Linked DNA regions of Ovis aries. The protein of the gene in region 1 binds, or shares a complex with, the protein of each later gene. Links are inferred from orthologs where the notes say so. Each region holds a gene or a part of one and is shown in the gene's direction. Other genes may lie near its edges.

Region 1 (4,269 bases):
GAACCTGTATAAAGTTAGTGACCTGCACCCCAATCACCTTATACGTAATACGCTCTTGCTAGCCTGTTCACATGTGAACTGGGTCAGAGCACTGCCCTTCTCCTTACTCACTGCCTCCCTTTCCCTGCTCCTGGTTTCTGGGATCTCTAAGTAATAAGTCTTTCAATTTTACTTCCTTTGTGGATTGTACTGTACCTTCAATCAAAACAACTGCAGGTCTTTACTTCCCCAGCTGGGCAACCGAGGGAGTCACTTGCTGATCCCGTGTGGTTGTGCCTCCTCATTTAGCAGGTCATAATCTGCATATTCTTAATTTAATACGCCAGCTACATGTCCCCCAACACATAAAGGGTGCCATTTTCCCTCAGCTAATAAATGGTGCTATTTTGTAAGTTTCTACACTCCTGTAAAATGAATAAAAGGAGATTGCAGTATCTAGATTGCAAAGGACCTAAAAAAATCTCATTAAGGAATATGGTTTTAATCCTAGACCCTCTCCCTTCCCCCACAATCCCCTAAAGGGCTTTAAGGCAGTGAAGCTCTTTTAACTAGATCACTATGGCAACCCCAGTGTGAAGAACAGACTCACCAAAGGCCAAGGGGCCAGTTAGGATGCTTTCATAGAACTCTATCTGCGATGTGGGTCGGTAGTTTGAGCCAGGATGGGTGGGAAACAATGGATGGAACTGATGGATGTGAGTGACTGGATGGGGTCGTGGGAGAGGGAGGCAGGATTGTGGCTGGTTGTTTCCTTGGGGCAACAGAGATGGTCTATTTTGAGACACAGAGAATAAAGCAGGAAACAGATTAAGGGATGAAAGCCTAGTTTTAGCAAGTTTACTTTGAGGTGGGATAGGCAACGTGGCAATCCACTCCAGTACTATTGCCTGGAAAATCCCATAGACAGAGGAGCCTGGTAGGCTACAGTCCATGGGGTCGCAAAGAGTCGGACACGACTGAGCGACTTCACTTCACTTCAGGCAACGTACAAGCCTGAGATTTAGGAGGGAGGTTATGGACAGAGATTAAAGAACGTGGAAGTTGTCAGCACATGGACGGAGACGCGTGCTTTTAGGAATGCGTCAGGACAAAAGGAATTCTAAGACAGAACCTCGAGGGAAACTGCCATTTAGGAGATGGGCCGGGGTACAGGAGCCTGAAAAAGGCCTCAGCAGAGAGCTGCAGGGAGAGCCCAGAGCGTGTACAGTCAGGGAAGTGGGGGCAGGGAGTGCGTCTAGAAGGAGCAGGTGGCCAACAGGGTCAAATGTTAGGGAGAGCCTGAGTGACAGAGGACCAGACTATAGTGACATTAGTGACACGCGAGTCCTGCGTGACCAGCTGAGGGCAGTTCACATACAGCAGCAGAGGCCACAGTTGACTTAAGGCGTGAGCAACCTGGGCGCATAGGTATCTGGCTGTAAAGGGGAGGAGAGGTGACGCTCACTAGCATATAAAGCTGAGGGTAACTACATGTCTACCACGGTTTCCACATCCATCTCTTTCTGTTTTAGATTTAAGAGACTTGAGTCTATTTAACAGCTAAACAGAAGGAGGGAGTGGGGAGGGAGACATCTAACCTACAGGAGGGAGGAGAGGAAGAGAAAAGGCTATGTTTGCAGGAAACGGAATCCACGACAGGTGGATGAAGATAGCTGCCTCGACAGAGAGAAGGATACAACTTCTACTGAGCCAGATAGGAAGGAGAGATGAGGAGGACGGTGAGTTTCCGGATGTGCTGGTGGAAGGGTCTCTCCTGGGGTTTCTGCTTTCTCAGTGAAGCAGAGTGAAGAGTCTGCTGCGGGTGGTGGGGGCAGAGTTGGAGGAGTAAGAGGTTTAAGGAGAGAACAGAAGTCTTCAGCTGGATTCTGGGGAGGATGAGAAAAGAAGCTGGCAAAGAAAACCACAAAAGAACTGCTGGGAGAACAGAGGACCAGGGGCAGCAAGAGACCATGGATTTAGCAGCACAGCATACCCTTCAGCAGGACTTTTCTTTGTAGCAATCAGCTGCCAGGGCGTGGGTGTAGAGAAGGTGGACAGTTGGATTCTATTCTTAGGTTCCTTAAAGTCCTAGGAGATTTTTGTGTCTGGAGAGGAACACTAGCCACCATCTGTGCTTTATTTGTTGTCTAATTTATTTACTTCACAAAACCACTTATGCAAAAATCGTCTATATATTCAAACACTGTTTATATAACCAAGTCAAAATCTACACATTTTGCACATCAAATTATCTAAACATTGATCGCAAATTTAAATCTTCCTACACATTTCAGTAGAATCATCATTATAATATGTCAGCTTCTCTACATGTTTCAAACATTTCGGTAAAGCACACATATCTTATAAGGATTATAAACTTTTTTACACTTACACTCATTATAAAAATGGGTTTGTAAACCCAAGAGAAGGACATTATCTCAGTTTAGACCAATTATTGAATTTAGATATCCGAGGTTAAAGCGTCTGCCTCCAACACGGGAGACCCGGGTTCGATCCCTGGGTCGGGAAGATCCCCTGGAGAAGGAAATGGTAACCCACTCCAGTATTCTTTCCTGGAGAATCCCATGGACGGAGAAGCCTGGTAGGCTACAGTCTATGGGGTCGCAGAGTCGGACACGACTGAGCGACTTCACTCATGCACTCACTCAGAAGAATATTATCTCAGTGAGATGATGTTTTGAATTGTTAATCAAATTATTAATCATTATCATTAATTATGAATTCTTGGTTGGGACCTGGGAACTACTTGACCTTCTAAGATGATGAAAATATGAGCCAGTGTTTACGTTATATGATGTTTTGAATTGTTAATCAAATTATTAATTATTATCATTAATTATGAATTCTTGGTTGGGACCTGGGAACTACTTGACCTTCTAAGATGATGAAAATATGAGCCAGTGTTTACGTTATATATCACTGGAAATTTTCAAGTCCACACTTTTCCCACGAATTAGTGTGTTATAACTGGATACTTTCTCTTTAATTATTTCACCTTTAAGTTTAATGATTATAACATGCAGATGTCCCAAAGATGTCCATACCCAAACCTCCTGCGTTTAATGGTAAAGGGACATTTTCTATGTAATTAAAGTTACAGGTCTTAAAATAAAGAGATTTCCTGGATTATCTGTGTGGGCCCAATCTAATCATATGAGCCATTAAAATTAGAGAATTTTTAAAGTCAGAGACATAACCTAAGGGTAGGTCAGAGAAGTACTGTGAGAAGTACTTGGCCTGACCTTGTTGGCCCAAAGATTGATGGGTAGGAAACTCAATCCTGCAACTATGAGGAACTGAATTCTAAATGAGCTTGGGAATGGATCCTTTCAGTTCAATGAAGATGGCAGCCCTGCCTACATGACCTAATGAAACCCCGAGCAGAGAATCCAGTCATGCTTTGCTGGACTTCTGACCTATAGACACTGTGAGATAATAAATCAGTCAAAGTTGTGTTAAGAAATGAACTTTGCGGTAGTTGTTACAGGGCAATAGAAAACTAACACAATAACTTTACTGACATCATTTATAAACTTAGCTCATTTACATTTTTACAAACTCCCCCAATATGGTTGTTTTCCCCAATATCCAATTGCTCCTTCTTTCTTATATAACTCCTGACATTTAGCTGGACATGGCTGCCTGGAATAAGGACTTATTTTCTAGCCTTTCCACCCCTACCCAATGTGGACACATATGACAAAATTATAGCCAATGAGATGCAATCAGAATTGTTGGACTTCCCTGGTGGCTCAGATGGTAAAGCGTCTGTCTACAATGTGGGAGACCCAGGTTCGATCCCTGGGTTGGGAAGATCCCTTGGAGAAGGAAATGGCAATCCACTCCAGTACTATTGCCTGGAAAATCCCATGGACAGAAGAGCCTGGTAGGCTACAGTTCATGGGGTCACAAAGAGTCTGACATGACTGAGCGACTTCATGTTCACGTTCACCTCTCAGAAAGCTTCTTTTAAAGGAAATGGGTGTGTCCTTCCTTCCTCCTTCCTGGGGACTGTAAGGCTGATGTAATGGCTGGAGCTCAAGGGGCCATCTTGGGTCAGAAGGTGATATGCTAAAGGTGGTAGAACAGCAGAAGGGAAAGTGGGCTGTGATGCTCATAAAACTGCCATCCACTCCTGGGCTCTTTATTTGCAGATTCTTCTATGTGAGACAGAAATAATCTACCATTTCGTTTAAGCCAGTATTATTTTGGGTTTTAGTGTTACTGTAATCTGATTATAATTAGTAGGGTAGTATAGAGGCTTTCTTT
Region 2 (3,566 bases), on another chromosome or scaffold:
TGTTCTGGGTTCCTCTGAGTATCTTTAGTTTTGTGGGATGGATTTACAGGGGGTGGGAGTTTGAGGGAGAAATGGGGGGAAAAAAGGGATGTAGCAGCTGCCTGGTAAAGCCTTTGAAGAAATACAAAGTTGATGAAAATGGATTTTTAAAGGAAATGTTGCTAAGGGATTCAGTGTGACAGCTCTGTCTGCTCATGAAACCCAGTCAAAACTACATTGTTGGAACTTCTCTGGTGGTCCAGAGGCCAGGACTTCATGCTCCCACCGCGGGACCTCAGTTTGATCCCTGGTCTGGGGACTAGATCCCACATGCCACAGCTAAAGATCCTGCATGCTGTGACTGTTTGATGCAGCCAAGTAAATAAATATAAAATGAACTGAGAAAACTGTTTGTGGGTGTTTGTGGAAAGAAGTAGCTTGAATCCAATACTTTTGCCACCTGATGCGAAGAACTGACTCACTGGAAAAGACCGAGATGCTGGGAAAGATTGAAGGCAGAAGGAGAAGGGGACGACAGAGGATGAGATGGTTGATGGCATCACCAACTCCATGGATGTGAGTTTGAGCAAGCTTTGGGAGTTGGTGATGGACAGGGCAACCTGGCATGCTGCAGTCCGTGGGGTCACAAAGAATCAGACATGACTGATTGACTGAACTGAACTGAGCTTAAATCCTGCTATCACAAACCCAGAAGAGACACATGGCTTTAGGATAGAATAAAGGCTGTGAGTGCTACTCTGAACAATCTGAAGAGAAGTGAATGATAGCATTTTTGATGAGCACCTTACAACAAACATATTAATTGAATCTGTTTTGCACTATACCAGTACAGTATGAAAATCAGAATTTAACATATAAACTGGGGCCAGCTTCTTTCTTTCCAAAAGAGTTTTCATTTTATGAAAGGAGGTTTTTAAAGAGTTTTTTCCTTAAAGCATTTTTAAAAATGTAATGTTCTCATAATGGAAAATATCAAACTTAAAGAAAATTATGTGATAAACCCCTATGTACATGTTAGGGGTTCTCTATTTAAGGGTGGAGAACCCTCAAATGTATGGTTACTCTTCCTGAAATACAGTTCATACAGGAAAGGCAGGATTCTCTTCCTATACCACTAAAGTGTTTAAATATTTATCACTTGGAAGAGAAGCTGTAAGACAAACTTACGTTTTTTAATATTATTTTTTGACTATGCCTGGAGAATCCTATGGACCGAGGAGCCTGGTGGGCTACAGTCCATTGGGTCACAAAGAGTCGGACATGACTGAGTGACTAACACAACACAAGGCATATGGGATCTTAGTTCTCCCACCAGGGATCAAACTCATGTCCCCCTTGTATTGGAAGCATGGATTCCTAACCATTGGACCACCAGGGAAGTCCCCTAGCCTTACTTAATGCTAACACATTAGGACTTAGAAAATTTCCAGAGGAACTTCAGCTTAGTTGGAGTTAAGCACAGAAAATCACTTGGGTGTATCAAACAGGGAGCCAGATAAATTTCTTTCTCTCTCTTGTTTCTAGCCCTCAGCAGGGGCAGACCTCCTCAGAACCTTTCGTCACTATATATCTTCCCCAACCGGACGCGAGCGTCTCAGTCTCGAATAGCTTTGAGGTACTTGCTTTTTACTCTGTAGTGGGTGAATTATTTAAAGATGCAACAAAGTACTTTGCTACAAATGTGTGTGGTTGAATGAATGAATGAGTGAAGGAGTGAATGAATCACTTCTGCAAAACCCTTGAAACGAGACTCAAAGGCTAACATCCGAATGGTGACTGTGTCACATGCCACTTTCCAAAGGAGACGGGCACCTCGTTGTTTCCAGAGTTCTGGCACGCACGATCTCCTTGGGACAGATGCTCATGACAAACTTGTAAAATAGATATTTGCTTCTCTACCTTACAGGCGAGCAAACTGGAACTGACAGTAAGAGCAACTTGTTAACTCCATTCATTGGAGTTAAAAAGCAGGTTGCTATGGGACTCAAAGTGGGCCTCAGCTTACCTGGTTGGGGCGACTCTTTTTAAAAAAATTTTATTTAGTTATTTATTTTTGGGTATGCTGGGTCTTTGTTGTTAGTTTTCTCTAGTTGTGGCAAGCAGAGGCTAATCTCTAGTTGTGGTATACAAGCTTCTCATTGCAGTGGCCTTCTCTTGTTGCAGAACATGGGCTGTAGGGCATGCAGGCTTCAGTAGTTGCAGCACACGAGTTCAGTAGTTGTGGTGCCGGGCTTAGTTGCCCTGCAGCATGTGGAATCTTCCTGGACCAAGGATTGAACCCATGTCCCCTGCATTGGCAGGCAGATTGTTAACCACAGGATCACCAGGGAAGTCCAGGGGCAAGATTCTTCCTGGATCATTTAGCTACATCAGAGCCGAGCTTTGGGTGCAGGCTACTCTGCCTGGGCTCCTTGGGTACCTCCATTGCCTCTGCTCCTGCACTGGCTTTAAGCAAAGAACTCACCAGGTCACTGGACTGAATCACACACCTGGGGGTGTGGGGCGGGGAGGGGCGTGTGCTGTTTGCCTTCAGGCTAATGCTCTGCTAGCCTTGAACAGATGGGCTCCGGGCCATCTAGTTCATCACTGGAAGGAACTATCAGATGTGGAAACCCTAAGCCTGCTTATCCTACCTGCTGTCAGAGGGTTGGCAAGGGTACTCCATGGCCACACATATGGACATGTGCTGTGCTAAGCCACTGCATCGTGTCCAGTTCTTTGGAACCCTATGGACTATAGCCCTCCAGTCTCCTCTGTCCACGGGATTCTCTGGGCAAGAATACTAGAATGGGTTGCCATGCCTTCCTCCAGGGGTTCTGACCCAGGGATCGAACTCCCAGTCTCTTGGATCTCCTGCATTGGCAGGCAGGTTCTTGACCACTAGCGCCACCTGCGAAGCCCACATAGGGACATGGAGTGAAAGTGAAAGTCGCTCAGTCGTGTCCGACTCTTTGCGACCTCGTGGACTATACAGTCCATGGAATTCTCCAGGTCAAAATACTGGAGTAGGGAGCCGTTCCCTTCCCCAGGGGATCTTCCCAACCCAGGGATCGAACCCAGGTCTCCCGCATTGCAGGTGGATTCTTTGCCAGTTGAGCCACAAGGGAAGCCCCATCATGCCTTAAGTGTTTCCTGCTTCACATTTACATATTTTTAAATTTCTTTCAGTTGCTTGAAATCCCTAACAATACTCCAGAATATGCTAAAGTAAGTGATCATTTTAAAGCTTCCATGAGAAATTTCAAGATTGAAAAGATAAAGAAGGTCCAGAACTCACAGCTCTTGAAGGCTTTTAAAAGGTGGGTGGCCACCTTATCGGGCTTCTCTTGACATAAAGTTTGAAAGGATTAGTGAAAACCTATCTTTGAAGATTTATATTCACTTTTTTATTTTGGTGGTCAACAGTTTCTTCAATCTCTAGTTGTGTTTTCATAGTGTAAGCTCAAACTTCTCTGTTTCAGTTTTAGCTTTACAATTAAATGCTTTCATGCATCTATCATTTAAAAGTTTTCATGTATTTATTTATTTTATAGCTGTTGCCTTAATGTTAGTAGCTCCATTCTGAA

What was found. Proteins that work in one complex are often made in the same cells at the same time.
Region 2: the proteins of KHNYN (region 1) and ZC3HAV1 are in contact, whole or in part, in a crystal structure (PDB 9BGL), measured with the Homo sapiens proteins. The link is inferred for Ovis aries from reciprocal best matches to the Homo sapiens genes KHNYN and ZC3HAV1. Residues at the interface, in NP_001277186.1 of Homo sapiens: His651, Lys652, Asp654, Phe655, Gln658, Arg659, Pro661, Tyr662, Asn677, Phe678; in NP_064504.2 of Homo sapiens: Glu5, Val6, Cys8, Phe9, Lys12, Ile13, Ala16, His17, Glu29, Ile30, Ala31, Leu32, Leu113, Glu115, Phe118, Ser127, Gly128, Leu129, Asn130, Glu133.

Annotation. Positions count from the first base shown.
Region 1 is NC_056060.1:20,563,234-20,567,502, reverse strand, and holds the start of KHNYN (protein KHNYN), read left to right. Parts: upstream 1-1,445; 5' UTR 1,446-1,609; coding exon 1,610-1,718; intron 1,719-2,114; exon of another isoform or gene 2,115-4,269.
Region 2 is NC_056057.1:104,110,541-104,114,106, reverse strand, and holds part of ZC3HAV1 (zinc finger CCCH-type antiviral protein 1), read left to right. Parts: intron 1-1,524; coding exon 1,525-1,615; intron 1,616-3,168; coding exon 3,169-3,299; intron 3,300-3,566.